2 linked regions of the Macaca mulatta genome follow. Each later gene encodes a partner of the first gene's protein in a complex. Links are inferred from orthologs where the notes say so. Each region holds a gene or a part of one and is shown in the gene's direction. Other genes may lie near its edges. The genes, in order: PRKAA2 and PRKAG1.

Evidence for each region.
Region 2: the proteins of PRKAA2 (region 1) and PRKAG1 are in contact, whole or in part, in a crystal structure (PDB 6B1U), measured with the Homo sapiens proteins. The link is inferred for Macaca mulatta from reciprocal best matches to the Homo sapiens genes PRKAA2 and PRKAG1. Residues at the interface, in NP_006243.2 of Homo sapiens: Asp329, Asn330, Ile333, Met334, Ala337, Phe340, Tyr341, Leu342, His366, Pro367, Glu368, Arg369, Met370, Pro371, Pro372, Leu373, Ile374, Asn444, Val446, Thr447, Pro530, Arg531, Leu532, Gly533, Ser534, His535, Thr536, Met537, Asp538, Glu541; in NP_002724.1 of Homo sapiens: His36, Asp40, Leu41, Ile42, Pro43, Thr44, Ser45, Val50, Phe62, Leu64, Val65, Thr66, Gly68, Val69, Arg70, Trp75, Ser77, Lys78, Lys79, Gln80, Phe82, Pro158, Glu159, Ser160, Gly161, Asn162, Lys170, Arg171, Lys174, Phe175.

The regions. Positions count from the first base shown.
Region 1 is NC_133406.1:183,970,442-183,986,283, reverse strand, and holds the start of PRKAA2 (5'-AMP-activated protein kinase catalytic subunit alpha-2), read left to right. Parts: upstream 1-6,893; 5' UTR 6,894-6,924; coding exon 6,925-7,018; intron 7,019-15,842. UniProt on the Homo sapiens protein: Catalytic subunit of AMP-activated protein kinase (AMPK), an energy sensor protein kinase that plays a key role in regulating cellular energy metabolism.
Region 2 is NC_133416.1:56,177,656-56,193,524, reverse strand, and holds the start of PRKAG1 (5'-AMP-activated protein kinase subunit gamma-1), read left to right. Parts: upstream 1-7,950; 5' UTR 7,951-8,003; coding exon 8,004-8,012; exon of another isoform or gene 8,013-8,498; intron 8,499-9,388; exon of another isoform or gene 9,389-9,508; intron 9,509-13,939; coding exon 13,940-13,988; exon of another isoform or gene 13,989-14,387; intron 14,388-15,869. Other genes in the region: KMT2D (histone-lysine N-methyltransferase 2D), read left to right, coding at 1-286, 1,842-1,978, 2,078-2,208, 2,684-2,731, 3,903-4,188, 4,400-4,473, 4,600-4,708, 4,878-4,970. UniProt on the Homo sapiens protein: AMP/ATP-binding subunit of AMP-activated protein kinase (AMPK), an energy sensor protein kinase that plays a key role in regulating cellular energy metabolism.

The DNA.
Region 1 (15,842 bases):
GTTCCTCCTCCTTGGCTATAAATCTCTACTTTTCTTTGTTGTATTTGGAGTTAAGCCCAATTTCTCTCTCCTACTGCAAAACCTCATTGCAGGAGGTCCTATAACTATCACAATAGTCCCAAATAAAGTCTGCCTTACTGTCTTTAGTAAGTGTCATGAATAATTCTTTTCTCTAACAAAAACTACCATTATAAGTGGTAAATAAGATAGGCTATACTGTTTTGTTCATTGCTACATTCCCAGTGCCTAGAAGAGTAGTGTGCACTCAGCAGGTATTCAATATATCTTTGTTCAATAAATGAATGTACTTAGAACAAAGCAATGATATACTCAGAGAATCTAGAAACCTTTTATCTGTGGAATAGCTAGTTGTGTAACAATTTAAAAACATTTCAATATTTTAAAAGTAGAGGGTGAAAAGTTTATTAATTAATGCTTTTTAAAACTATTAACAGAATTTTACAGAATTGAAACCCCAGAGTCTTGAAAGGGTACCTAGTCTACGCCTACATACAAATTAAAAAAAGAAATTGAATTCTCTCATTATTTGTTAAGGTCTTTATTCTTGGAAGGAGAATTAGTTTATTATTTATAGAGCATTTAGAACTTGAAATTACCTAATTTATCTTAAGTTTGTATTAATCATGTCAAAGCTTAGTAGTTAATGTTAACAGGATTGTGCCAACAGCCAAAGCATTAACACCCACTTGAGGTCATTAAAAGTATTATAAAAGGTTTCAAATAATATGTATATTACATCGTTTTGTCAGGGGTTGTTTTAATTCTAATGGACAGCCATAACAGAGATGGTAATCAACTCAAGGTGACATTGGTATCTCCTTACCCAAACGTCACCAGTTCAAAAGTATTCAGTACAGATAGTCACTGAATCCATGCCAGGAGGGAAATAATTGATTTAACTGATCTAAAAGTGTATTTGAGCTTTTTTCAGACAAGCTGTCAATACACACATGAAAGCAAGATTCTAAAAGTGCTGTCAGATCCATAATATTTATACAGCAAAGCAAACAACCTTTGTTATTCCAATTAATGCATCTGCTCATGAAGGAAGTCTGATCCAAAATGTTTTTTTTTCCTCAGCTGCACTGAAAATTATAATGTTGACTCATATCGAAGCAATTTAGAAATGTACTCAGTCAGAAAATGAAAATGGATTATGTTAAGTATAATATTTGTTACTAGGGTACCTGCTAAAAATACCATCTCAAAATCATTTATTACATTTCCTTTAAAGGGTTTCAAGTACTGTCACGCATATCTACTTATCTCTTTGAAGGGGGCTAGGCCTGTAATAGTATTATCTCAACCTTACAAACCAATGATGACAAATATTAGGAGATAAACTGTGTATAGGGAAAATAATGTGGCAAGATCAGTTTGTTGAGATACCTTGGACAGTGACCTACAATACTTTACAGTAATCACTCTATCTTTTTCCCTCTATTGTTCAACTCTAAAACAGGAAGTGGAGTTTGGGAGTTGAATGTCTCAACAACTGAAAAGTACCTTAGTACTTTATAGTCTAGTTCAACACTATTAGTTTTACCAATAAGAAGTGAAATGATCTGTTTAAGGACATACTGCTAAGAGGCTAAGATGGAACATGAACTCAGGATATATATACACATGTACAAATATATACACACAGATACTGTATATACATATAGAGTATATATATGCTAAATTCAATTTAGCATATATACATATATACACATATATACATATATGTATGTATACATCTGTATAGAGATATACATATATACATATATATGTATATATGTATATACACATATTTAATTATATATATAATTTTGAGACAGGGTCTTGCTCAGTTGCCCAGGCTGAAATGCAATGCTGTGATCTTGGCTCACTGCAATCTCTGCCTCCCAGGCTCAGGTGATCCACCCACCTCAGCCTCCCTAGTAGCTAGGACTACAGACGCACACCACCAGCCCAGCTATTTTTTGTAGAGACAGGTTGTCACCATGTTGCCCAGGCTGGTTTTGAACTCCTGGACTCAAGAGATCCACCTGCCTCAGCCTCCCAAAGTGTTGGGATTTCAGGTGTGAGCCACTGCACCAGGCCATGATTTTTTATTCTAAATATTGAGCTTTTTCTACTACCTCTTGTGATCATGAATAATTGTTCAGATAAATCCAACAAGATTGGGATATTCAACAGTTAAAATGATTCGATGTTTCAACAAATACATGACATTTTAAAAAAAGAGTGGGAGGAGAAAACACTGTATATTAAAAGAGATGTATTGACAAAATGGTAAGTGTGACTTTTTTTGATCCTGATTAGCATAAACCAGTTGTAAAACTACATTCCTGAGACAATCAAGGGATATTCACCACAGAGTGGGTATTTCATAACAGTAAGGAATTAGTGTTAATTTTGTTAGATATGATAGTAGTAGCATGGCTGTGTTAAAAAGAAGTGCTTATCTGTTAGACCTATATACTGAAGTATTTGCCAGCGAAATAATCTGGTTATTTACTTTAAAATACTCCAGAAAATAAATTTTAAAAGTGCAGAGATAGATTGGTAAATGATGACAATGTTGATCATCACCGATGCTAAGGTTATTTATGTTACTCTACTTTTGTGTATGTTTGAAGTTTTTCACACAAAATTTTAAAAATGTAATTATTGAGCTTGTACTTCCTATAAAATACCATAAACATCCTTTATTATTCATCGAGTGTCCAACTTTTTTATTTTAAATTGGAGACAACCATAGAAGCCCTATATCATGAATCTATAGACTTCAGAGGTGCTAACTCATGCCTCTCTAACCTCACTAATGACTGCTGTGCTGAGATGTAAAATTATGCTTTGCCTTTAATATGTGTATACATAAGATAAAACTGCACTCTTCCCTGTATTGTTGTTACTTGATTCTCTAACTTAATAACTAACCCTTTCTAAAATTCAATTTAGCAAATATTTTTGGAATGATATACCAGGTTCCACTAGGCCCCAGAAACAGCAAGTGGGATATGAACATATCATTTGCATATATAATATGTAAAAAAATACATATAAATACATATATGTATATATCTATATGTATGTATAATGTATATGATAATAGAATTGATAAATTATGTATTAGCTATATTAAACATGTACAATGGAAAACGTAAAAAGAAACGTAATGAAAAACAATGAATCATGCTTAATGTCAGAATTATCTTTCTATTCTATTTAAAAATTTACAAAATATAAAGAGGTAATCAAAGAGTACACATCCAGAAAATGCAGAAAACAGGTATTATAGAGGTATATTGGATAATTAATTTATAAAAATATTGTTATTTTTCTGGATTTGGGGATGTTTGTGGCATTTGTCAGCTTTTATAAATTTCTAGATAGTTGTTTTTCAGTTCAAATACTTTCATACCCAATTTTGCATTTTTTCCCCCTTAAAGAGGTTCCCCCATACTGAATAAACTTCAGGTGCCACACTCTTTGAATCTGTTTGGATGTCTATGTTTCGTCAGGCACTGTCCCAGGAGCTAAGGATACATCAGTGAACAAAATAGAGAAAAAAGTCCTCTCTTCTTTTGTGAAGTTTAGATTCTAATGGTGAGAAACAGACAAAAATATAATAAGCACGTAAATTAAATAGTATGTTAGATGGCTAGTGCTATGTAAAAAAGTTGAGGAGGGTCAGGGGACGGAGAGTGCAGGGCAGGGAGCATGAGTGAGGTAAAACTGCAATTTAGGCCTGGTGCGGTGGCTCACACCTGTAATCTCAGTCCTTTGGGAGGCTGAGGCAGGAGAATCACTTGAGTCCAGGAGTTTGAGACCAGCCTGGGTGACGTAGTGAGACCCTGACTCTAAAAAAAAAAAAAAGAAAAAGAAAAGAAAGAAAAGAAACTGCAACTTAAATAGGGTGGCCAGAGTAGGATTCACCAAGAAGGTGACTGAGCAAAGACTTGAAAGAATTGGTTACTGATAAAATCAATGGTATCTAGTATAGTATATTAGTTTAGTGATCTTGCATTAATGTACTATTTAGGATTTATTTTAGAATATTTGAAGGTAAAATGACCCCAAAGTTTCAGAAGTAGGAGGGTAAAGCAGTAATAGTTGGACCAGCGCCAAGAACTGAGCACCTCTCTGGGGCACCGGTCTTAGAAACTGGTACTAAACAATAGCGGTGTGAAACCTTCATTGGAAGATAATGAAATGGGAACATTGCATTTACCAGAACATCTTTAGGGGTGAGACCTCCAAGGGGCATGACTCTTAAGGAGATCTAGTCTGATTAACTGTCGGGTTTTCTGTTGCTGAGTAGGAAGAGGCAAATATGGAACCTTATCTGAAGTGTCCAGGACAACAGAGGGCTGAGTGCTGCACCAAGAGTTGTCCTTCTTACCCACTTAGCATTCAACCTTTCCTCTAAATAGAAGTCAGAAAAGCAACAAAAAGTAGTTTAAATACTTACAAATTTGTAGGATATATTATTGGACTGCCCAAGAAATAATAAAAATATGAAAATGGAATCACAACTGTGACCATTTTTAACTTTCTTAGAGCACCATACGTTCTTTTTGTATAGGCAGCTGCAGTATATTAGGCAGACTGAAGGACATGTCAGAACTGGGTATAAGTTCTGACTCTGCCACTTTTTAGCCTTGGGAAAATCAGAAAGGGAAAAACTAAATTTTATCATCTATAAAATGGGAATAATAATCTTTCTTTTATGAAAATTAAACGAGATAATTGTGTTTAAATGAACTTCTTAATCAACAAAGTATCATAGATGTTTCAGATAGTAACAAAACTATAAGGTAGTCCACAATGACTATGTAAGAATCATTGTTATGAAGTGTAAAATAATTTAATTTACAGTATTTAATAATAGTTAAGACAGTATGAAATGCTTTAAATTCTCAATTTACAGTTCGTCTTAATGTAGCTTCAAGAAAGCAATCTAAGACTTTTCAACACCTTTTAACGGGATATTAGAGCAGAAGACATATACATCTCATACGGCAAAAGCAGAATAGGGCTTTTCTTACTCACTTGAATACTGAAGGAATGACCCTTAACCAGATGAAAGCTCAGCACAAAAATAACTGGCTATTTTCTCAAAATTGCCAGCTAGGTAGAGTGATTCCTAAATGATACTTCTTGTCAGCAAGAAAGATGATCTGAAGAATGAACAAAAATAGCCTCTGTTTAACAGCTGTGATATCTATAATTTATAAGCTGTGATCATCTCTCATCAGATTGTCTTGATGTTTGGATGAGAATGAATGTTTGAAATTTCTATATTTAGTACTTCTCAGAAAACAAAATTTTGTTGTGTCCTATTCTTTTTTATCAATAATTTCAATTTACATATAAACAGTGTTCAAGAGACTTCATGTTTGAGGAATGTGACCTTGAAACTCTACTGGCATGCAGTGCTATAAATGTCTGACTAATCCTTAATTACTTATCCCCAAACAGCAATATTTTTTTAGTTTTAAAATTTTTTCTTTGGCAAATAAAAATTGTATATATTTAGTATGTATATGTTTTGAAATACATATTGTGGAATGTCTATGTCAAGCTAATTAACAAACGGATACGAATCTTTGTGTGTGTGTGGTGAGAAGCAAATAAACTTTAATCACTGAAATACGGAACAACATTAAAGAATGGGACAACATGAAGGAAGGAAAGGAGGGAAGGAAGGGCGGCAAAGAAGGAAGGGAGGCAGAGATCATCACTTTATTACCTAATTCTTTGCCAGTCTTTTTTCTTTTTTGGGGGGGGCGTGGCGAGGTCAGTCTTTGAACACGCTACCTAGGCATCATGCTTCTAATTTCCTCTTACCACTCTTTTCACTTCTATATCACATTTATTCTTCCTTTAATATGTGGCCTTGTATTGGCCTCGCCCTTCACAATTCCTCTGTCGCTCACGTATTTTACTTTCTGTGGGCAGAATGTTGTTTGCCTTTCCACGTCTTTCCCATTTCCCTCTTATACAGCTGTATCACATTTCGGTACTATATGTTTATATAAGCGCGTGGTAAAACTACTTATTTATATAAGCATGTGCTAAAATACACTCGAGCAAATACCGTGACTGAGATTTTTTGGAAAACTGTGGGCAAATTAGTTACAACTGAGAGCTCTGGCGGAGAGGGTCTCTTCTATCTACAGGACAAAATAATTGGGAATTACAGAATAAGTAGAGGAGGACAATTCAAGAGCGCACAGAGCTGCGTGCGTTCTCCCTGTGCCGCGACCTGTATCCAAAAGCCTCAGACGAAACTGAGGGGCTTCCTAGAGGCTCTTCTGCCACTGCCCTTTTGACCAGGGCCCTTCCCGCAGTCTCCCCTCTCGCCTCTTCCCTTTTACAGCCCCTCGCTCCCCACACCCGAGGCTCGTCTCTTCTTCCAGTTTGACTTCCACGTCTTTCCATTCCCTAGAAACGGGCCCCAGCCTCACCCCCCATTTTCACCCCCTTCGGTTTTCCTCAGAAAGGGCACCCTGGCTCCCTCGGGACCCTCGCCCACCCCACTTCGCAGCACCTGCCGCATCCGTCCCTCACTCGGACCCGGCGCACCTGGCGCGGCCCCTCCCGCACTCCCGCCCAGCGCCCCGCGTCCCCGGCCCCCGCCGTCGCTGCCTCTGGCTCTGCCGCAGGCGCCTCTCACTCCCGGGAGCCGGCGCCGCGCGCTCCCTCGGCCCCGCCCCGCCCGCCGCTCGCCCGTTGCTTCCCACCTGGGCCCGGCGCGCCCAGCGCCCCCTCCCGGGACCCCGCGCAGCCCCGTGCCCCTCGCGGCTCGGGGTCCGCCCCCCCGCCCGCAGGGCCCGCTGCACTGTGGGTAGGCGGCGGCAGCGGCGGCGGCGCGGAGCGGCAGGCGGCGAAGCGAGGCCGCGCGCGCGGAAGATGGCTGAGAAGCAGAAGCACGACGGGCGGGTGAAGATCGGACACTACGTGCTGGGCGACACGCTGGGCGTCGGCACCTTCGGCAAAGTGAAGAGTTGAGTACGCGCTCCGGACCGCTGTGCGAGCTGCCTGGCTTGCGGGAGGCCGGGTGGAGAGGCGGGAGCCCCGGGCCTCGGGCGGGCGCGGGGCTCGGCGGCAGGTGGAGCGGCCCCGGGCCGCGCGGAGCTGGGGCCCCGGGAGGGTGGCGCGCACCGCCTCGCCTGGCACCGGCGCCCGGTTCCCGCAGGGTCCAGGGAAGGGGGCGGGGGTGTGGGCTGAAGACGGGCGTCCTGGGTTCCAGGTCCCGCGCCCATCCGCCTTTCCGGAGGTTGGAGCAAGGCACTTCTGTCTTCTCTGGACCTCAGTGTCCTCTGCAAAACCGGGAGATTGGACTCTATCCACGAGGCGCCTCCCAGCTCTGAGCCTGTAGGCTCAGGGCGGGGATCATGCACGCTGAGGACTGAGGCGCCGTTTCCTGCCGGGTGCCCTGTTAGGTGCTTTACATGGGATCTCATTGAATCCTACAGTGACTCGGTCAACATGTCCTCACCCTTAAGGTGAGAAAACTAAGACCCCTAGAGATGGAGTAACAAGCCCAAGGTCACACAGAAATGGGCAGTACCAGAGTGAAGTCTAAGATGTCCTCCAATTCTGGTCTTGCTGGGAGGTCCCTGCCATCCCCAGATTCCTTCATGTTCCAGGACTCTCGGTTTTTGGGGGTGACTGTTTGGGGGATGCTCCAGGGGCCAGAGGTTGTGAGTCTTTCTTCCTGGGGTGTTGTTAAACGCTGGAATGCAGCTGGATTGGGTCAGAGGTTAATTAGAACAGAGAGGTCTGAAGGTGGTTGTGTTTGTAAAATGGCTATGGGAAGACTTCTGGGGTAAGGGAGAGAAAAAGTTTCCTTGGTGTTTGGAGGATTGAGGTTGAGGAGGTCAGGACTACTAAGGCATATTCTGCTAAGGTCTGTCTTCATGGAGATAGGATCCCATTTTGGGTGTAGGAAGACAGGCTGCTTTTGAAATGTTATACTTTATTAGAGTTAAGTTAACTAGTAAGAATAGTTGTGTTGAGCTTTCATTTGTTTTCTTTTTTGTTAATTAGTCACATGGGATTTAATTAACCTGCCTTCTCTCCAGAATAGACACAGTTGTTTATTAAAAATACTTTGTTGTAAATCCAGAATTATAAGTGAAACATTGGCTTTTTTTTTTTTTTTTTTTTTCTCTTTGCTGAAGAAATGCTGAGTAGGCAGTCTGGAAATTTTATTCTGAGGTCTCTATTTCCTTGTAAAATTCGTATTTTAACCCCAAGTCAAGGCTGTTGAATGAGTAGAAGAGACTCATTGTTCATTCCTGTGGTAAGAATCAGCTCCTGTTTTCTTGCACGTGTTTAATACCCATTCATTTGTTCAAAAAACTCTGAGCACCTGCAGCGTGGTAGGCACTGTTCTAGGCAATGAGGATACAGCAACGAAAAAACGGATCTTTTCATGGAGCTTTCTAGTAGGGGAAGGCAGACAGTAATCAGAATATGTATGTAAAAGGTATATTTAATTTTACTGAGAAAAATGAAGCAGGGAAAGGAAGATAGTTTTGTGAGGTTGGCAGTTTTCAATAAGGTGGTCAGACAAGGTGGTATTTTTGCAATGACCTAAAAAGTTTGTAAAATTCTTTGCGGTTCTGTGAGGGTTATGAAGTCCTGGGTTATTTTTGAAAGACCTTATAAGTAGAGTGGATAGTTAGAATATGTTTAAGATGAATACAGGACGATCCAGGGATTGTAAGGGATACAGTAAGCCTGTAATGTTACTTGTCATTTAGTATCATTATTAAGGACTATTGTGTTACAACATTATACAGTTGCTCAAGCAAACAGTGCCTTTGACATTTGGACATGTACACTCTCAAAGTTATATAACTTAACCCTATGTCCTTTCAAATTGTGTTAAAAATTTTTGCTGGTCTTTTTAAGTTTGTATACTGTAATCTGAATGTAGAGTAGAATACCCATCAGATCAATCAGTCCATTGTCAAAGACAACTTAAATCTCTTGTGTGTACTTTTGAATTGTTTCCAGGCACTGGCTTCTTGAAATATAAACAGAAAGAACTTTGATTTATGAGAAATCCTTTTCCTGGAGAACCTCTGTCCAATGAACAACCAGTTGAAGGAGTTTTCCTAACACTGTATTAGATCCTCTGAAAAGTGATACTATGGTTTCCTATCCAAGATTATGATCAGTACAATTGTTTAATAAAAATTATAGAAACTGCTACAATCTACAGTTACTCATATAATTCTTCAAGGGACAAGTGAAACAAGTCTTTTTTTTTTTTTTTTTTTTTTTAAACTGTGGCTCATGCCTGTAATCCCAGCACTTTGGGAGGCTGAGGCGGACGGTTCAGTTGAGGTCAGAAATTTGAGACCAACCTGGCCAACATGGCGAAAACCCGTCTCTACTAAAAACACAAAAATTAGCTGAGCGTGGTGGCAGGTACCTGTAATCCCAGCTACTGAGGAGGCCGAGGCAGGAGAATCGCTTGAACCTGGGAGGCAGAGGTTGCAGTGAGCCGAGATTGCGTCACTGCACTCCAGCCTGGGTGACAGAGCAAGACTCCATCTCAAAAAAAAAAAAAAAAAAAAAAAAAGGAAAACAGCTTTATTTAGGTATATTTTATATATGAGATTCATCCGTTCTAAGTGTACAATTCAATGATTTTTACTAATTTTGCCAAATGTTGCAACCATCATTATAGATCAGTTTTAGGACATTTGAGGACACCACAGTAAGATTCCTTATACCCATCACAGTTAATCTCTTTCCTACCCTCAGTCCCAGGAAATCACTAATCTGTTTTCTGCCTGTATAAATTTGCTTTTTCTAGGCACTTCTTCATAAACATGATCATTCAATATGTCATCTTTTGTGTCTAGCTTCTTTAAAAATGCTTTTGAGATTCATGCATGACAGAGCATGTGTCATTAGTTTGTTCCTTTTTATAGTTGAATAATATTCCATTGTGTGGATATACCACATTTTCTCTATACAAAACCAGTTGATGGTCATGGTTTCAAGTTTTGGGCTATTATAAATAATGGCATTACGAATATTCACATGTAAGATGTAAGTCTTTATGTGGACATATGTTTGCACATAGCTTGGGTAGATAACTAGAAGTAGAATTGCTGGGTCATATCATAGTTTTATGTTTTACTTTTTGAGAAACTGCCACACTTTTAAATGGTCACACCATTTTATAACAGTCCCATCAAAGATGTATGAAAGTTCCCTTTTCTGAGTATCTTTGCCAACATTTGTTAGTGTCTGCCTGATTTATTACAGCCATTCTAGTGGGTGCGAAATAGTATCTCATTGAGGCATTAATTTTACATTTTCCAAAGGACTAATGATGTTGAACATTGTCTCATGTAATTACTAGTCATTTGTGTATTTTCATTGATGAAATGTCTGTTTATATCTCTTGTTCATTTTCTAATTGGGTTGCTTGTCATCCTATAAGTTGAGTTATGAGGATTCTTTGTAAATTATGGATACAGATCCTTTAATGGATATATTTCGCAAATATTTTCTTCCAGTCTGTTGTGTCTTTTCATTTTCTTGTGTCTTTTGAAGTATAAAGTTTTGAATTTTCATGGGATCCAATTTATTAGTTTTTAAAATTATTTTATGGACTATGCTCTTGATGTCATGGCAAGAAATCTTTGCCTAGCCCAAGTCTCAAAGATTTTCTTTTATGTTTTCTCGTAAATATTTTATTATTTTAGCCCTTATATTTAACTATGTGATCTATTTTGAATTAATTCTTGTGTATGGTGTGAGATAAGGGTGTAAGACTAACTTTTTGCAGGTGGATAACCAATTGTCCCAGCAGTTTTTGTTGAAAGCAGGTGCATTTTTAATTGCTGTAGATTTTAGACATTGCAAAATGAATTTCTACTAAAAAAGCTAATAAGAGATGATTTAATTTTAAAAGGTTGGCCAGGTGTGGTGGTCCATGCCTGTAATCCTAGCATTTTGGGAGACCGAGGCAGGAGGATCCCTTGAGCCCAGGAGTTCAAGACCAGCCTGGGCGCATAGGAAGACCCTGTCTTTGATTGATTGATAGATAGATAGATAGATAGATAGATAGATAGATAGACAGACAGACAGACAGACAAATGGTTATAAAAACATGGAAATGGAGAAGCAAGGAACATCTTATGTGCTTTCTCTCTTGACTTTTTTTCTTTTTCTTATTTATTTGTTTATGAATTAGCTTTTTTAGGGACTGTGTTGGCCAGGCTGGTCTCGAACTTCTGGACTTAAGCAATCTATCTGCCTCAGCCTCACAGTGTTGGAATTACAAGTGTGTCCTACCATGACCAACTTTGACTGTTATGCTAATTATACATTTAGAAATTTTAAGCCAAGCACAGTGGCTCACACCTGTAATCACAGCACTTTGGGAGGCTGAGGTAGGTGGATCACTTGAGGTCAGGAGTTTGAGACCAACCTGCCTAACATGGTGAAGCCTCGTCTCTACTAAAAATACAAAAATTAGCCTGCTGTGATGGTGTGCGCCTATAATCCCAGCTACTTGGGAAGCTGAGGCAGGAGAATCACTTGCACCCGGGAGGCAGAAGTTGCAGTGGGCCGAGATCGCGCCATTGCACTACAGCCTGGGTGACAGAGTGAGACTCCATCTTAAAAAAATAAAAGAAGGAAATAAAGAAATTATAACTTCAGTTGTTGATATATCAATTTATGGACCAAAGTTAGGTATAAAAAGCAAAAATTGAAAATGGAATAGTTTTAATAGCAGTAGTTTTAATTTGTTTTTTTAAAGTATATGGAAATCTTTGTATTTGTTAGTAAAGCCTTATTTAAAATGTTTTAAATTTTCTCCTTCATTAGTCTGTTGTATTATTAAATTGCTGGGGGACTGTTTTTGGAAACAGATTATATGGGCTGGCAGAGTTTATAAGTAATGCTTTTTATCTACTAAAAATTTTTCTCAGCCGGGCTTGGTGGCTCAAGCCTGTAATCCCAGCACTTTGGGAGGCCGAAACGGGTGGATCACGAGGTCAGGAGATCGAGACCATCCTGGCTAACACTGTGAAACCCCGTCTCTACTAAAAAATACAAAAAACGCCAGGCGCGGTGGCTCACGCCTGTAATCCCAGCACTTTGGGAGGCCGAGGCAGGCGGATCACAAGGTCAGGAGATCGAGACCACGGTGAAACCCCGTCTCTACTAAAAAAATACAAAAAAATTAGCCGGGCGCGGTGGCGGGTGTCTGTAGTCCCAGCTACTCAGGAGGCTGAGGCAGGAGAATGGCGTGAACCCGGGAGGCGGAGCTTGCAGTGAGCTGAGATCCGGCCACTGCACTCCAGCCTGGGAGACAGAGTGAGACTCCGTCTCAAAAAAAAAAAAAAAAAAAAAATCTATATTTACTGTTTAGGTTCTCACTCTGGGTAGGGTAGAACTGTTAGAGAGCTCTTGTAATTAGACTTGTTCATCTCTTATTCAACTTCTCTAAAGGTGATAGAAATTCTAGAATGGTCCTGTTGTTTGTGCTATATAAAGACCGGTTGAAGAAAAAAAATTATAATGCCAATTATTTATTTTAAAAGAAGCCTGCATTTTCAAGATGAGGAGTAGTATATATGTGGTTTATGATTTAAACAAATTTTTTTTCAACATTTTACTCCAGAAATACATTTACCCATATGTGGTTTATGAAATAATTATTCTTCATTGGAATTTTTCACCAAGGGATACTTAGGTTCTTTCTTGTCAGCAAAGTCTCACCAAGAAGTTACCCTTTCTGTTTTTCAAATAGTTACATGAGTGGCCTACAGACTGCTTTCAAGAAATTAAGTAAATATTTTACTAATTCCCCACTTGTTTTTGAGATAACAGGAAGGATAAACCAAACCAAATCAAAACAAAACAAAAAAGCGAAAAGTGTTACCTTATTTTGAAATGAAAATATCAAGTCCTAAATGATAAATCAAATTTCACACAACTGTCCCATCAATTGACGGAACTAAAAGTTATGTCTGTGGTATTTTGGTCCTTTACTAGGATTTGTTTCTGACTTGTGTGCTAGTGTGGAAGCCCTGACCAATTTAAACTCCCTGGTCCTTGTTTTCTTCCCCTCCTAAAGGATAACACTGGAATAGCGAATCTGTGAGGTCCTTTACAAAGCTATCATTAAACCGATTTTTAAAAGATTTAACTCCTCAAAATGGATGTATGTAATTATTCATCCTGGTTAATGAAAATTGGAATTCCTGAATCTGAAATGTAGATGTAATGTAGAACAGGGGAAAAGGAAACATATTTGCAACACTTCAGTGATAAAAGGTACAATTTGATTAAGTTGTTACTATATTCTAATAACCGTACTATATACGCACTTGCTTTTTTTTATTCCCCAGAGTAATCCTCGAAGTTTGGTATTATCTCCATTTAACAAATGAAGAAATTGAGAAACAGATACTTTAAGTAACTTGTCCAAGGTTCCAGTGCTATTAACTGGTAGAGCTAACAATCAAATTCAGGGTTCTCAGACTGCAAAGTCTCTGCTGTATGGACGATAAAGTCAAAATGCCTAGTACGTTCTGAGTTTCAAACCTACAGGGATATAATTTTCTATGTCTGCTCATATTTATCAGAATTGAGAAAATAAGATTTAAATGTCTTTTAGTCCATATTTAGAGATAAATAACGTTTTTTGAAATGTCGTATATAGATGATTAACATTTTTATTTTTATTTTTCCAGAATTTAATTTGATGCCTCAATCTTTCTTATTATAAATGTGCCGAATTCTACCAGTTTTAACCCATGTTTCTTAGAAATACTAGTGATTTCAATGTGTTTACTGATATAAAAGTAATCTTGACTAACGATTGCCAGTAACCTTTAGTAACCAGATGAAAGAGAACTTGTACAAATGATTTGATATTCTAGAAGAAAACGTTGGTATAAGAAGGTATTAGCTCTGGAATTTAATTCCATTTCTACTACTAGTTATCTGACCTTTGGGAAAAACCATTAGACGCTGAGCCTTTGTTTTCTCCTTCGTAATATGACAATGATCATACTTGGCCTGCCTACTTTCTGGAATAGTTATGAAGATCAAATGAGTTGAGGTACATAAAATGGCTTTGGAAAAGATAAAATGCTATACAGATAGATGAGACTGTTGTGGAGATGGTGAGATGCATGGTAATTGTAGGTAAGTTCTGCACCCTGTGTTAGGAAGTACTTACTTTCCGTTGAAATGCCTTCAGTTCTCACACCAACATTGAGATAGAGCTGTAGTAATCTGCCCCTGTTTTGTGGTTGCCTAGGTTGAAGAAAGTTCTTAATGACTACTTCATCTGTGCTTTATGATACTTATTAATGTTTATATTAAAAGCAATATCCTTTATGACTAAGTCATGTAATTTGTTTTTTCCCAAATATGGAAGATGAATAAGAATGAAATGGAACTAATAGTGAAATAAAAGTGAATGTACACACATTCACAGTAAATTGATTTTACTTTTGAAATTATTCAAATTCTAAACAAGTGTTAAATATTGGTTCCAAATAATGAAACTATGTTTCTTCTCAAATATTAGATTAGTGATTGAATTACAATCAGTTGAATTATTCTCTCAAACAATTAGGTAAATGAATTATGTGCTATTCAGGTTTCTTTCGCTGATATATATATATATATATATATATATATATATATATATATATATATATATAATTTATATGATTTTTGAATTGTGTCCTTAATATCTGAATGGATTTCGTTCATTTGGTGTAATCAGTTGCTTGACTTTCAAAGGGTATTTTAAATAGGAAACAATGTTGTAAATGGTAGCTAGTTTCCGAGTATGTCCACAAAGGCAGCATGATATAGTATATATACTCTCTGTAGTGTGTTGGACTTAGAAGACCTGGGGTGGAACCTTTGTTTTGTCATAAACCAGCCATGTGGTCAAACTCAATCTAAAAAAGGGAATAATACCATATGTTCTCTTCTAGTGTTGTGAGAAGTACATGAGAAAATGTAGGTAGATGAAAAAGCACTCAGAATTACTTATGTACTTTTGTGTATGTAGACACCATTATGTACTTAAACCCACAATTAGCTGAACTATGAGAATAATCTGTGATCTGGTTCTGAGACCAGAAATTTATTAATGAGAGAGAGGGAAGAATTCACTACCTCCTGTCTTGTTTTACTCGAGTCTTCTTTCTGCAAATGAATATGTTCAGGAACCTCTAATTCTCCAGAAGCTGCTCACTTTTCACCCTCTCCTGTATATCACTTGGAAGACATATACACAAACACATTATATGTATTTTGTATACATATATATGTATGTATGTATTCCAGATCCCATGATATCCCTCATAGAAACTCTTGGAGGAAAGAGGCATAAGCTGGAGAGGGGGTAAGTGTGGGCAGCAGATGGCATTTAGTGTGAATGGGTCATTTTAAAGTCATAGTCCACTTGTAGTAGAACCAAAATGAGGCTATACATATATTTTCAGTACAGATAATACACTCTAAAAATGCTTTTCTACCAAAGCATTTTTGGTAAAAAGAGCTAAAAATGCTTTTCTACCAAACTTTCTCTTAACATATCCATATAAATTAGAAAGAATTTTGTAGGTCGAACATACATTGAGGTAATTACCTCAGTTCCATGAACTGTCTCCCTTTTTCATGCTGACACAACCCTGCTTTATCTTGCTGCTTTTTATAAAAAATCCCAAAATATCCACTTACCTTGTGGTCCATGTTAGCTTTCTTGAAAGCATTTGGTACTGCTTTGTAATGATAATACCACCCCATTTATTCTTCTG
Region 2 (15,869 bases), on another chromosome or scaffold:
AGCATCATTCAGCGGGGAGAACGGCTGCACATGTTCCGTGTGGGGGGCCTTGTGTTCCACGCCATCGGACAGCTGCTGCCTCACCAGATGGCTGACTTTCATAGTGCCACTGCCCTCTATCCCGTGGGCTACGAGGCCACACGCATCTATTGGAGCCTCCGCACCAACAATCGTCGCTGTTGCTATCGCTGTTCTATTGGTGAGAACAACGGGCGGCCGGAGTTTGTAATCAAAGTCATCGAGCAGGGCCTGGAGGACCTGGTCTTCACTGACGCTTCTCCCCAGGGTGAGCGGTGGGCCCTTGAAATGGATAATATGGTATGGGGAAAGTTTCTCCCAGGGTCACTGTTACAGTGTCTGTAAGAGGACCTGTAGCCTCCATGTGAGTGATCCTCCTTCCCCCACCTCAGGCAGGCAGGGGGTCTCTTGAAAATTCCCAGTGAAAGTGTTTGAGCCTCTCTGTCACCCTAAATTCCCTTATAGTTGAAAATATTTTGCTTGTCTAATCTCACATATTCTAGTTCCTTTTGCTATCCTCAGTGGAACGAAAGGAAACAGTTCTGAGACTATTGTCTGCTTCACCTAACCTAATCCTAACCGAGTTCCTTGTGGTTGTTTTTCCCTGGATGAAATCAGAATTACTTTGATTTGGGCCGGGCGCGGTGGCTCAAGCCTGTAATCCCAGCACTTTGGGAGGCCGAGACGGGCGGATCACGAGGTCAGGAGATCGAGACCATCCTGGCTAACCCGGTGAAACCCCGTCTCTACAAAAAATACAAAAAACTAGCCGGGCGAGGTGGCGGGCGCCTGTAGTCCCAGCTACTCGGGAGGCTGAGGCAGAAGAATGGCGTAAACCCGGGAGGCGGAGCTTGCAGTGAGCTGAGATCCGGCCACTGCACTCCAGCCCGGGCGACAGAGCAAGACTCCGTCTCAAAAAAAAAAAAAAAAAAAAAAAAAAAGAATTACTTTGATTTTAGTTTTAGTGTTAATGATAAAATAACAGTAAGAGCAGGTACCTTTTTTTGAGTGTGTACTGTGAGCCACAAACTAAGCTAAGTGATTTGTGTAGTTTATTTTGTTCATACAACCCTATGAGGTAAGTATTGTACTACGATTATGCCCAGTTTACACATAAAGAAACTGAGTCTTAGATTTAAGTACAGTTATGCATTGCTAAATGACAGGGATACATTCTGAGAAATGCATTGTTGGGTGATTTTGTCATTGTGTGAACTTCATAGAGTGTACTTACACAAACCTATATGGTGCAGCATACTACACACCTAGGCTCTGTGGTATACCCCATTGCTCCTAGGCTACAAATCTGTACAGCATGTAACTAGTGAATACTGTAGGCAGTTGTAACATATGGTAAGTATGTGCATCTAAACATAGAAAAGATACAGTAAAAATACAGTATTATAATCTTACTAGACCACTGTTGTATATATGATTCCTCATTGAATGAAATGTTGTTAAGCTGCACATGACTGTTTTGGCTCAGGGTCCCATGGCCAGTACTAGAACCTGAACGCAAGTCTTTCCAACTCCAAAGCATGCCTGTTCTTTCACTAGGGACCTTCCATGGCCTATGCTGGGTCTGCTGGGCCCTGGGTTTCTGTCTCAAGGCTCTGTGATGACCCCCTGGGGTTGGAAGCCTCCTGCTTCTTAACAGACAGTGAGACTAGGAGGCCAAGAGAGGATCCGGAAGACCAACACACCTTCATGATAGGGAGGCTTGAAGGCCACAGAAAACAACTGCGGTTCTGGATTGGGGTTAGGGACTGGAGGTCAGTTAGCAGAAGTTGCCTCTAAGGGCTGCTCTCTTCCCTGCTTCTTAGCCGTGTGGAATCGCATCATTGAGCCTGTGGCTGCCATGAGAAAAGAGGCTGACATGCTGCGACTCTTCCCTGAGTATCTGAAGGGCGAGGAGCTCTTTGGGCTGACGGTGCACGCTGTGCTTCGCATAGCTGAATCAGTAAGGAAGGGGCTGGGAGCTGGGGGGCTTGGCGGGCACTGAGAACTTTGGCCACCCCAAAAAAACTCAGGCTAAGGTGAGTATGAACTGTGCCCACAGCTGCCCGGGGTGGAGAACTGTCAAAACTATTTATTCCGCTATGGGCGCCACCCCCTTATGGAGCTGCCACTCATGATCAACCCCACTGGCTGTGCCCGATCAGAGCCTAAAATCCTCACACACTACAAACGGTGAGCTTGTGATGCTGGAGCCAAGGGAGGGTGTGGGTGTTGATAGGGATCCTCTGGTCCCATCATGAGGATTTAGGATACAGATCAGAGTTCTCGTGGAGAAACTGGGGAATCACTCTTAGACCTCCTAATTAGAGGGCACACAGATATTGGTAGGTTATCCTTTTCCTCTTCTCCCAACCTGCTCAGATGCACTTGGGATATAGGACAGAATTATCTCGGGCACCCTGGGGAGGTAATGGGTAAACTGGTGAAATTTTATGAAATATATAAGGGACCTGGTCACCTTTTTCCTCTCCTGTTTTACTTCCAGCGGGAGGGCCTGTGATTCTCCCAAACCTCAGATACCCCATGAGTGCTAGGGTCACCTTCCCTTCCCTGTGAGTGTTGGTGTAAAAAACAAATAGTTAGAGATATAATAGAAAAATAATAAAACCTTACATTTGTATAGCACTTTATACTTTTTTTTTCAAAGCGTTTTCACATCCATTATCTCATTTGATCCTCACAACAACCTTATGAGGTAGGTAGGGCAGGTGGTATGACCCCCATTTTACAGCTGAGAAAACTGAGACCCAGAAAGATTAAATGACTAGGCAAAGATCACACAGCTGGGACCAGATCCTTACCTCTGTGGGTCCTTGTTCTTTCTGTGTACCAGGGACCTTAGTCCTTGGGTAGAGGGAGGCAGAATCTATGGTAGCAGGGCTTTCTTGAAGGTCTTTGGTGGCTCCTAGGCTGTCGTAGAGTGTCAGAGACTCTCTATCCCTAGCCAACCTTGTCCTTGATGCCCTGCAATGGTGGTTTTCAAACTGTGAGTGCATGTGTTCCAAAAAGTCCTCAATCACATAAACTGATGGGTTGAACTTGGCCTTCCCATGCATATCTCTTCCTTCCCCAAATTGGATTAAACCAGAAGCGCTCCATTGTCATCTAGTTTATGTATTGGAGTTCCAGTCAACATTTTGTTAAAGAAAAAAGCAAAGATTTCTGCTAAATAAAAAAGAACCAGAAACATTTGAAAACCACTGCTTTGGGATGGCAAGAATTTGGCTGGTACCCTAGGGTGGTAAAAGGTATCCTGCCAGGCAGCCGTCATTCCCCTGCACTGAGCCATCTGCACAGAGCCCAATGTTATGTCAGAGAAGGGGACAATCTGAAGAAAGGATACCACCTTTAGGCTGTGAGTTCACAGCCAGTTTTAATTCAAATCTAGCCCAGCGTGGTAGGCACAGTCCCCATTTTCAGGGCTTCCGGTATGTGCAGGAGGTAGGATTCAGACATTCAGGCAAACCATCAGCTTAAATTCTAGGCCTAGGCTACTTGCAGAAAACTTCCCAGAGGAGCATGGCCTTGAGAATGGTTTGGCAGGAGAGTGGTAGGAAGTGGGAGATGGGAGAGCAGGCTCAGTGTAGGGGAATTGGTGCCCCCCATCTCCCTCCACACTTCACCCCTCACCCTGGGCTCTCTGTACCACCCAGGGTGTCAGAAGGGTCCCTATAGCTAGTTGCTTCCTCACCAGAGCTGAGACCCAGTTGCCTCTACTCCTTTCCCAAGGCTGCACTTCCAGTGCTTGCCAGCAGCACACGCCCCTAACTGATGTGTTGCACATCCCAGGAGGTGGTGGAGGAGGTGGGTGGTGTGTACTTGGTCTGAGGGCGAGCTGTCTTGTCATGGATTGTATCACCTCCCAGGCCCCATACCCTGAACAGCACCAGCATGTCTAAGGCATATCAGAGCACCTTCACAGGCGAGACCAACACCCCGTACAGCAAGCAGTTTGTGCACTCCAAGTCATCTCAGTACCGGCGGCTGCGCACCGAATGGAAGAACAACGTGTACCTGGCTCGCTCCCGCATCCAGGGCCTGGGGCTCTATGCAGCTAAGGACCTAGAAAAGCACACAATGGTTATCGAGTACATTGGCACCATCATTCGGAACGAGGTGGCCAACCGGCGGGAGAAAATCTACGAAGAGCAGGTATAAGCTGACAGAGGGGCCATTGTGGTGCATAGTCCTCACTCAACCAAGGAGCAAGGGTCAGGATTGGTCATAGGAGGGCAGGAGGAAAGCTGTGGTGGGGAAGGGAAAGGCAGGAGAAATGAAGAACATGAGCCCACTGCCTGAGTCTCCTACGTGATCCCACTCTCTGATACTCTTGTCCCTTCTTCTGCAACCTCTGCCTTTCTAGAATCGAGGCATCTACATGTTCCGAATAAACAATGAACATGTGATTGATGCTACGTTGACCGGCGGCCCTGCCAGGTGAGAGATGACGAGGAAGGAGGGAAATTAATGGTCCCTGAGTAGCACTCTGGGGGATAGACAACAAGGAATCAAAATTTTCCCAAGTTAGTTGCCTGACATCCCTGACTCTGTCCTTCTACCCAGGTACATTAACCATTCCTGTGCCCCTAACTGTGTGGCCGAAGTCGTGACATTTGACAAAGAGGACAAAATCATCATCATCTCCAGCCGGCGAATCCCCAAAGGAGAGGAGGTGAGAGGAAGTATCCTGAGTGAGTGACAAAGCAGCTACTACTCCTTTCACCCCTTCTCTGCCATTCCCTAAATGTGGGTTCCTAGGCTGCACACCTCAGATCGTATCTTCTCTGCCCTCTCTTCTTCCTGTGGGGGCTAGCATTGATTCTGCCCTCTTCTCTTTTCAGCTAACCTATGACTATCAGTTTGATTTTGAGGACGATCAGCACAAGATCCCCTGCCACTGTGGAGCCTGGAATTGTCGGAAATGGATGAACTAAGAAGCTTTGAGGCTACCAGGCAGGGGAGTCCCCCTACCCACAACCTCTTCCCTGAAAGGGTTGAGGGGGAAGAGAGGTAGCAGCCAGAGCCAGGACCCAGGGCTGGGGCTGCCGGCTGACCGGAGCCCCTGGAGCAGGAGGCTGGGGCAGAGGGCCCTAGGCCAAGCCCACCCTGGGCACCAGGGACAACCCTCTTCCCCACCACCGGCCCTCAGGCTGGCATCTCTGCCCCCAGCTCCAGGAGGGGCCAGACAGAAGCAGCCATTGGGCATCTCAGGTTTGAGGGGGATATGGGCCGGGAACTACCCAGAAGCATCTGGGAGGCAGCAGGGTGGGGGAAGAGGATGTGTGGCCGGGCCTCACAGCCCTGCTGCTCCCACTGACCTCTCCGGCCCAACTCAAGGCTGCAAAGAGACTTGACTAAGCTTGACAATCCCAAAGGCCGGGTCCCACACCTGGCCCTGCCTGCCGGGTCCTGCCCCCACCCTCACCCCCATCCCCCTCCCTCTTGATCTGTCTGTTTCCCTCTTTTCCTCTGTGTTTCTGTCTCTCTATGGGTTGTGTTTCCTTGTTTTCCACTCTGACAAATGCAACATGAACGGGAAAGAGGCGCCCAGCTGCCTAGGAGGGCAAGCTGGGCAAGCCGGGCAAGGAGACCCCGCACCCACACCTACCTCATTTAAGTGTTGGATTTTTTGCTGTTTTGAAATGTGAGACCCTCTCCAAGCCCCCTACTGCCCCAACCCTCTCCCCCACCTCACTGCCCTCTTCTGAGTGGGTGGAAGAGGGGGTAGGAGGAGGAAGAAAAACAACAACAAAAAATCCATCTTTGTTTTTAATTATGGGCATGGGATGGTGGTTGAGGCAAATGATGATGAAGATTGGGGATGACTGGCCCCTAGTTGCTCTAGGACTTCCTTCTCCATCTGGACATGGGGGCAGGAGGGGGCTAAACCTAGGACCAGGATATCTCTCTCCTGTTTTCCCAACCCCATCATGAGCCCGTTTGCCCTCCAGCCCCTGGACGGGTTGGGTGGGGGGTAGGGTGAGGGCTATCCCTGAGTGGCATGCCCATACCTAATGAGGCAGGGTGTGGCCCGGAGCTCCCACTTTCCCTCAGTCACCAAACTGCTGCTGGTCTGGTGGGAAGGGGTGGTGATGTGGGGGTGGGGAGCTTAGTGTCAGCGAGGGGAGGGTGGGGGGTATTTATCTATTTATACATGGGATTGTACATAGTCTTGTGGGGCATGGGGGAGCCGGCTGGAGGTGAGAACCCTCCCCTCTCCCCCCACCCCCGGGGAGAGCAAATGTAAAACTACTAATTTTTGTGCTTTATATATTCTATATAAATATATCTATTTTCTTTTTACAAAACCAGTTTATAAATGGTAGGGGGGTGTGGGGCGGACACATGGAGCTCCCCTTGTGGGGGGGCCCCCTCCATTACCCAACCTACCGCCCTTTTCCTCACCCCCCACCCCACTCCCCACCCCCTGGCTGTGACTGCTGTAAGATGGGGGTATAGAGGCTGGGCAATTCCCACCCCCTGTTGTATAGTTGGACTATGTTATAACGCACAAAAGAGAGCTGACCCCAGGGGGAGCCAGAGGGTGATGGGTTCCTTGCCTCCCTTTCCTTCCCCTTTCTGCCCAAGCTTGTGCTGCAGTTTAACCTCTTCCTGGGGGTGGGGGTAGGTAAGGGGTGGGTGACACCCCAAACCCCTCTCTGGTAGGGAACCGTGGGGATGAAGATGAAGCTTATATGCAGTTCTCTTCTAGGGGCTGTGGGCAAAGGGCATTTTGTAATTAATATTTTCAAGAATCCGATGTCTGGAGTGTAGGGGTGGGCTTGGTGGTGGTGGACGGGCGGGCCTGCTGGAGGGGGAGCTTGGTGGCTGTTGTGATTTTAGGTTTGTTTTTGTTTTGTTTTGAATTTGGGGAGTTGTGGATTGTTGGGGGTAGGGAGATTTTTTTTTTTTTTTTTTTTTTAAAGCTGCTTCCTCAACTGTTTCAAGCTGCAAATGTTTAAGAGAATAACACCCCCCACTCCCACAGGAACCGCTGTAATTAAATCAGACAGCAGGAAGACTGGGCTGCAGCCCTCAAAGCCACAGCCCTTGATGTTCCTTTTCGGAGAGCAATAGGTCTAGGCTACAGGGAGGGGGAGATTGGCTCCCGTGAGTCAGGCTGTGTTTGGGGCTTGGGCCCTGGGATTGGGAAAAGGGGATGGGGCAGACTTTGTAAGCATATGCTAGGTATCCGATAGTCCTGTAGAATTTAGTGAAGAAACCTTATACAGTTTTTAATTTTTATATAAACTATAACTCAGACCCAAGCTACAAGGTTGGAATTTTGGTTGGTTTTTTTTTAAGTACCCTGCCTGTATAATTGCATCAGAATCCCCCACCCCCCCGTGTTTGTATTTTGGGTTGGTTTACACTCGCACATACTCAATTTTCAGTTTTCCCCTTTACAGTCTTCTCCCCTCACCTCCAGGACCCTCCCCCTTTTTAAAAAATAAATCGCTGACAAGTGTGAATCCCGTGAAGACTTTATTTTGTGTTGTGTGTATCCTGTACAGCAAGGTTGGTCCTTCGTAACAACGGATGAAATGGTTCCCTTTTTTAAAGCGCCCTCTCTCCCTCCACCCTCAGCGCCCCTGTCCTTGGCATGTTTTGTATCAGCGATCATTCTGAACTGTACATAATTTATGTTGCGAGAGGCAAAGGGCAAGTTTTGGATTTTGCTTCTTCCAAGTTTGTTTTTAAACGACAAATAAAAAAAGAACATTTTAAATACAAGCGGCTCCGTCCCGTGACCCTCGCCGTCAGCCGGATCCGTGCGGTCCGAGAGGACCCGGGGGAGGGCGGTTACCGAGGCCCGCCACCGCCGGAAGGGTGGGTTCCACGCCTTCCGCCGTAGTCTGGCGACTGCCGTGACGTGGGCGGAAGTGGCGTCGCCGCACCGGATGTGGGGCGTGGCCTTCCCCAAGAGAGTTTCCTAAAGCGAGAAAACCAAGCCGGCGCCTCTTGCAATGGAGACGGTGAGGAGCGCAGGAGGGCGGTCGGGGGCGCTGTAGAGCCTAAGACCCCGCTTAGGAGACCGGGAGGGCCGGGCAGGGGCTGGCGCTGGTGTCTAGCAAACAAAAAGCAGCCGGGTGTCTGCCCTATCCCGTGACCGTGTCCCTCCGCTTCTTCGTTGGGCGCATCTCCTGGGACTGGGCCGCGCCCCCGCCGCCTTTCCGTACGCGGTACCCTTAGCCCAAGCAGGCAGTGACTCCTGGCCCTCCTTGGAGCCCACGTAAGCCGTGGCAATCTTGGGCTTCCTTTCCTCTTAGCACCTCAAGCCCTTTTAGAGGTTTGAGAGCGCGGGGTTGTGATGCGGCTTTGCTGGGTGAGGCAGGGGGTGTCCAGAGGGATCTCCGCTTGCAGGTAGCTGCTGGACCTCGGTAGTCTTTCTGTGATCCCTGCAATCCCTGGCAGGAGGACATCTGAAGATCTTTATACTGCATCCAGTGAAGTCACATTCCCTTAATAAGACCGAGAATTGAGGTTTGCTTGAAAGAGGAAAACTTGCAGTGTTAGAGGCCGATGTGTCCCTGGACAAGTTTAGGTCATGGCCCGCTCTGCGACTCTAAGCAGGAGTTTTGGCACAGCGCATTCTTGGCGAGCAGGCATTGACCAGTTGTGGCAGGGCCCTGTCACCCTCCCACAGATGCCGCGGGTTGCCTGCTGCATGTTTGCACCCACCCTCACTCTCAGGAGTCTTTTTCTAGCGCTCTGTAACCCCTCCCATACACTTCCCTCTCCACAGTTTTTAACCATGTGTCTTCTTTCAGGCAGAGTAACTCTTCCCATCTTGGTTTTTATCATTTGCTACTGTAGTTATGAAAGGACTGCAGGTTCACTTTGCTTTGGATTACATGCCCATAGTAATTCTTTGCCACACCCTTTCTCTGCCCACAGAGAGGTTGTTTCTTTCAGGTTTTTGAAAAGAAAACCGACCAAAGTACTAAAACGATTCGCAGTTGGTCTCCCAGGCAAGGGAGCCAGTTCTGACTAATCAAGATAATCTTGAACAAAAATAAGGAGTCTAATTCCATTAAATTTAAAATAACATGTCATATTCTACTTACTTGTGAGTGTAGTATGGTTTACAGAGCATTTTTATGTAGATTTTCTAATTTAGCCTTCACACTTTATGTACTGGATTAGGCTCTGGGGTAGAAGTTAAAAAGAGGAAAAAGAAAACAGCCAGGTGTGGTGGCTCATGCCTGTAATGCCAGTACTTTGGGAGGCTAAGGCAAGTGGATTGCTTGAGCTCAGGAGTTCAGCACCAGTCTGGGCAACGTGATGAAACCCTGTCTTGACAAAAACAAAAACACAAAAATTACCCAGGCATGATGGTGGTGGTGCATACCTGTAGTCCCAGCTACTCTGGAGGCTCAGGTGGGAGGATTGCTTGATCCAGGGAGGTGGAGGCTGTAGTTAGCTGAGATCATGCCACTGCACTCCACTCTGAGTGACACAACGAGATCCTGTCTCCAGAAAAAAGAAAAAGAAAACTCCTGCTTTGAAAATGTTCAGCCTAACTGGAGTAAGGGTGAGGGCAAGCCAGCAACAGCTGTTATTTAAAGGTAGACTATAATAAATGCTATCATTAATATGAAAACAAAGGACTGTGACAGAATAGTTGAGAGAAAAATTACTTTGGACCTAGGAGAGGGCACTGCAAATTGAGAGAACAGTATGAGCAAGGGCACTGAAACTGGGGGATGTGGAGAATTGGGGGTGAGCCAGCGGCTTGGTGTTGCTGGCTTTGGATTTTGGTCACAGTGAGAGAAAAGACTGGAAAAGTAGGCTAAGATCAGGTTGAAGGTATTACACACCATGCTAAATTTGAACTTTGTTTTGTAATAGGGGACCCATGGAAGATTTATGAGCAAGTCAGTGAATGTCTTTTAGGAATGTTCATAGCAGCTTTCTGTACATGGACTGAGCTACTTCGGAAAGTAAAGTTTCTTGTTAATGGAGATGAAAGCCCCTTCCAAACCTGAGATGCTTTGGTGAAAGCACGAAAGACAAATTGAAAAGCAGAGAGATATGGGCCAAGGACCCCAATTTAAACAGTCTTGCAGAAGTGAGAGGTAAAAGCCTAAATTAAGGCTGTAAAATTGGCAATGAGAGAGATATAGATCTGAGGCATTTATAACATTACCAGCTTAGCTGATAACTGGTAAGAAGACAGCTGTATAAAACAGAAAAAACAAGATGGGAACTACAGCAAGAATAATAGGATTGGAGGGACAAATGTTTTGTTTCGTATTGAAGCATTTGAGGAGTCTCTGTGACATCTATGGTTGTCAAACAAATAATTGGAAACGTAGATCAGAAGTTTGGAAGAAATTGCGAGTCTGTTTGTCAGATGTAGACTGTGTCTCTGTAATATTTTGTACTTACGTGGTACAGTTGTACTTTCTCAGGTCCCCTATGTTATTAAAAGTAGAAAGGAGGCCAGGCACAGTGGCTTATGCCTGTAATCCCAGAACTTTGGGAGGCCAAGGTGGGCGGATCACTTGAGCCCAGGAGCTCAAGACCAGCCTCGTCAACATAGCGAGACCCCATCTCTACAAAAAAATACAAAAAGTAGCTGGGCTTAGTGGTGTGTGCCTGTAGTCCCAGCAGCCCAGGAGGCAGAAGTCAAAGGATTGCTTGAGCTGGGGAAGTTGAAGATACAGTGATCTGTAATCATGCCACTGCACTCCAGCCTGGATGACAGAGTGAGACCCTGTCTCAAAAAAAAAAAAAAAAAAAAAGTAGAAAGAAGTAGATGTAACTACATAATTCCCCCTCTGATATGGTGAAACAGGCAGAAAGTTAAAAGTCATTATCGGGCTCCGTGGCTCATGCCTGTAATCCCAGCACTTTGGGAGGCCGAGGCGGGCAGATCACAAGGTCAGGAGTTTAAGACCAGCCTGGCTGGCCAGGCACAGTGGCTCACGCCTGTAATCCCAGCACTTTGGGAGACTGAGGCAGGTGGATCAAGAGGTCAGGAGATCGAGACCATCCTGGCTAACACGGTGAAACCCCGTCTCTACTAAAAAATACAAAAATTTAGCCAGGCATGGCGGCGTGCGCCTGTAGTCCCAGCTACTTGGGAGGCTGAAGCAGGAGAATGGCGTGAACCTGGGAGGCAGAGCTTGCAGTGAGCGGATATCGCGCCACTGCACTCCAGCCTGGGCAACAGAGCAAGACTCCATCTCAAAAAAAAAAAAAAAAGGACCAGCCTGGCCAACATAGTGAAACCCCATCTCTACTAAAAATACAAAAAAACTCAGCTGGGCATGGTGGCAGGTGCCTGTAGTCCCAGCTACTTGGGAGGCTGAGGCAGGAGAATCGCTTGAACCCGGGCAGCGGAGATTACAGTGAGCCAAGATCACGCCACTGCACTCCAGCCTGGGTGACACAGCGAGACTCTGTCTCAAAAAAAAAAAAAAAAAAGTCACATATTCAGTTGTATTTGACTCTGTTATGTTGGTATCTGTATCTCTAGTTAGCTATATGTTTCTTTCCTCCCTCTGTAACTTAGTCTTAGGCATATCTGTTCCTATCAGTGTGCATCATTCTTTGAGAATTAAAAAACAAAACAACTGTGAATTATATGCAAAATCCTGTGCTTGGTGGTATGGGGGATACAAAGTATAAGATAGTTCTAGGTTTCCAGGAATTTATAATCTGTTTGGATAGATAACGGACAAAATAAGTATCGCACAGTACAATATATATCATATGATGGGTAAATTCTACAGAAGTAGCTGTTTTTGTGCCTTTGTGTAGATCTTTGTGAGACTCTGATATATCATGTGTTTATCACAGCCCTCTCTCCTACTTACAAGTGATGAGGCTGTTGTTCTGATAGTCCTGCCAAAATGGCAGGCCAAGCTGACAGTCTTATGCAGTCCAGAGGGAAGAGAAGGAGATTATCCCCCTTACTCCCTGCACTCTCCCCTAGCCCATTAAGGGAGAAAAGTTTAGGGCTGTTGTAAACTTCCCTGGTTTAGGAAGTTTGTCAGCCAACCTCCCAGGTTGAAGTTTTTAATGTCATGTTACTACAGAAGCTATGGGGATGAAGTATGGTTTTAAGTTATTTTGGAGATATCACCCAGAGAAAGTGGAGCCAAGACTGTTGATGCTAGCAGATGAAAATTGTTGTGATCCCTTCTGGGTTCCTAAATAACAATGGCATTTCCAAATGTTCCCACTTGAGGGAGCACAGAAATGGTTCTAAGTTTTGTCTAGTCAAAGCACTCTAATCTCAGACTGCCTTGGGAAGGGAAACTTGGAAAACCAGCATCCCCTGGCTATAGCAGCCTTTGTTTGACTGACAAGGGTGCTGAGTGGACTCGAGTCCCCAGTTTCAGAACATTCATGTTCCTTATCCACCTCTCAGTCATTCAGGCTTTGACTGGCTAACAGTCAGCTACAGGGATCCTCCCCAGTTGTGGCCCTCTCTCTACCATGGAGGTAGACAATGGTAGAACCAATGTCTGTGGTTCTAGTGCCTACAAATATGCCTAGTGAGTGTCTGTGTTTGGGGGAAGACAATGCTATCTCTCTGGCTTCCATGTTTTAATAAAGTAGATCTGTGAGAATCTTGTAGGGGTTAGCCCTAAGCTCAGATCTTTAGTCTTAGCTTTTAAGACCTAATGTTTCATTAGGCGGTATAGTGTACAAGAACATGAGCTTTGCAGATAATGCTCATTCCACTCAGAAGTGGATAGAAGTATTTCTGGAAGGCACAATATTGTAGCAGTATTGGTTTCTTCTCTTCTGTGATTCCAGAGAGGTAGAATTTCATCAGAATGGAATAAATACATTCAAAAATTTTATAAAAATGGCTGGTTGTGGTGGCTGATGCCTGTAATCCCAGCACTTTGTGAGGCCGAAGCGGGCAGATCAGTTGAGGTCAGGAGTTTGAGACCAGCCTGGCCAACATGGTAAAAACCCCGTCTCTGTTATAAATATGAAAATGAGGTGGATGTGGTGGCACACGCCTGTAATCCCAGCTCTCAGGAGGCTGAGGCACGAGAATCGCTTGAACCCAGGAGGAGGCAGTTGCAGTGAGCCAAGATCACGCCACTGCACTCCAGCCTGGGCAACAGAGCGCGACTCTGCCTCAAAACAAAACAAACAAACAAGCAAATTTACAAAAATGAACACTGCCAAGATAACCAAACTCTTCATCAGTTATAATAAATTATTTTCTTAGGTATAAGTAGTTTTAAAATTTTTTGTTTTTTCATGTATGTTATTTATTAAAATTTTGATGTTATAAAAAAGCAAACCACAAGCTCTGGAACCAGAAGATAGGTGTTTGAATGCCAGCTCCACTCCTTATCAGCCATGTGACCTTGGACAGCTTGCTTAATGTCTCTTGACTCTCAGAGACAATCTGTGAAAATAAGGCTAATAATAGTACTTACTTCAGGGTTGTTATGAAGATTAAATGAGATCATTATTTCTGAAGAGCCTAATAAGGCTGGGTGCAGTAACTCGTGCCTGTAATCGTAGTGCTTTGAGAGGCCAAGGAGGGCAATCACTTGAGCCCAGGAGTTCAAGACCAGCCTGGGCAACATGGCGAAACTCCATCTCTACTAAAAATACAAAAATTAGCTGGGTATAATGGCGTGCGCCTGTAGTCCCAGCTACTCAGGAGGCTGAAGTGAGGGAGGATCACCTGACCCGGAGGAAGTCAAGGCTGAAGTGAGCTGTGATCACACCACTGCACTCCAGTCTGGGTGACAGAGCGGGACCCTGTCTCAGAAACAGAAAAAAAACAGGGTTGGGGGAGGTGGTGGCTTTATAGTGCTTTAAAGAAAGTCATTATTTGTTCACCAGCCCTTCCCCTAATGTTGCTAGGCTTAAATGGATGGAACCAGGTTAAGCTGAATCTGTTTTCTTGTCTCTCCAGGTCATTTCTTCAGATAGCTCCCCAGCTCTGGAAAATGAGCATCCTCAAGGTAAGTTTACTGAAGAAAGGAAAGTGGGCATGGAAACAATAGCCTGACCCTAACAATGTCTTCAACAATGCTTTTGAATCTCTCCCCTGGGAAAGTCAAAGCAGGGCCAGATAATGGCCAAACCACAAAAATCAGTGACAGTAGTTTGGCAAGATCACCCAGGAATAAATCTTGGGCAGATTGGGGATGGTTAATATCTTCAATTATCAAACCACTTGAGAGAAACTTCTGAGGTACAGGGAAAACTTCCATAGGCAGCTCTGGGCTGGCTAACCATGTTTTAGAAGTCCTGGGTATTTTCTGCGTAGTCCAGAAACAGTGCCACCAGGATTTTATCACCCAGCAAGCTCATTAAAGCCATTGAGTGTACACAAAAAATTATGCAAAGGGCTGGGCGCTGTGCCTTACTCCTGTAATCCCAGCACTTTGGGAGGCCGAGACAGGTGGATCGCTTGAGCTGAGGAGTTTAAGACCAGCCTGGTCAACCTGGTTAAACCCTGTCTCTACTAAAAATACAAAATTAGCCAGGTGTGGTGGTGCATGCTTGTAATCCCAGCTACTTGGGTGGCTGAGGCAGAAATTGCAGTGAGCCAAGATTGTGCCATTGCACTCTAGCCTGGGCAACAAGAGTGAAACTCCATCTCAGGAAAAAAAAAATTAAATTAAATTAGAAAAAGGCTCTTAGAACTAATCTAGTAATAGAAGCACTAAACCTCTAAAATCCAGAGCACAAGGAAGACAATTCCAATGCCGGCCAGTGCCTATTTTATGTTTTTGAGTACATTTGTATTAGCACCAAGGCAGAAACCTGAAACTCAAATTGCCTACATGGACCAAGCAGTGAAGTGAACCACATATGATTATGACAACCTGTAGATCTTGTGTTGCATCTAAAAGAAGGTGACAACTGGACTGGCTATGGTGATTCATGACTGTATTCCAGCACTTTGGGAGGCCAAGGCGGGTGGATCACCTGAGGTCAGGAGTTGAAGACCAGCCTGGCCAACATGGTGAAACCCTGTCTCTACTAGAAATAAAAATATTAGCCGGGCGTGGTGCTGCACACCTGTAATCCCAGCTACTTGGGAGGCTGAGGCAGGAGAATTGCTTGAACCTGGGAGGCAAAGGTTGCAGTGAGCTGAGATCGTGCCACTACACCCCAGCCTGGGGGACAGCGCAAGACTCTGTCTCAAAAAAAAATTACAATTAAGGCAGCTGGGTTGTGGTGGCTTATGCCTGTAATCCCACCACATTGGGAGGCCGAGGCAGGTGGATCACCTGAGGTCAGGAGTTCCAGACCAGTCTGATCAACATCAAAACATCAAAAAAAAAAGGCAACAACTATCTAGGTCTGGTCAATTAAGACCTATTTTTGGCAGATCTTCTGACTTTGAAGACACTAGAAATTTGGATTTTTATGTAAATTTCTAGATTAAAAATTTTTGATTTAAATAAGTCTGGGCACAGTGTAACACCAGCACTTTGAGAGGCCAAAACAGGAGGATCACTTGAGCTCAGGAGTTCGAAACCAGCCTGGATAAGTGAGACCCTGTCTCTACAAAAAATTAAAAATTAGCCGGGCATGGTGGTGTGCACCTCTAGTCACAGCTACTGGGGAGGCTGAGGTGGGAGGATTGCTTGAGCCCAGGAGGTTGAGGCTGCAGTGAGCTGTGATTGTGCCACTGCACTCCAGCCCGGGCAGAGAGTGAGATCCTGTCTCAATTATAAACAAACAAACAGGCCGGGTCCTGTGGCTCACGCCTGTAATCCCAACACTTGGGGAGGCCGAGGCTGGCGGATCACGAGGTCAGGAGATCAAGACCATCCTGGCCAACATGGTGAAACCCCGTCTCTACTAAAAATACAAAAAATTAGCCTGGC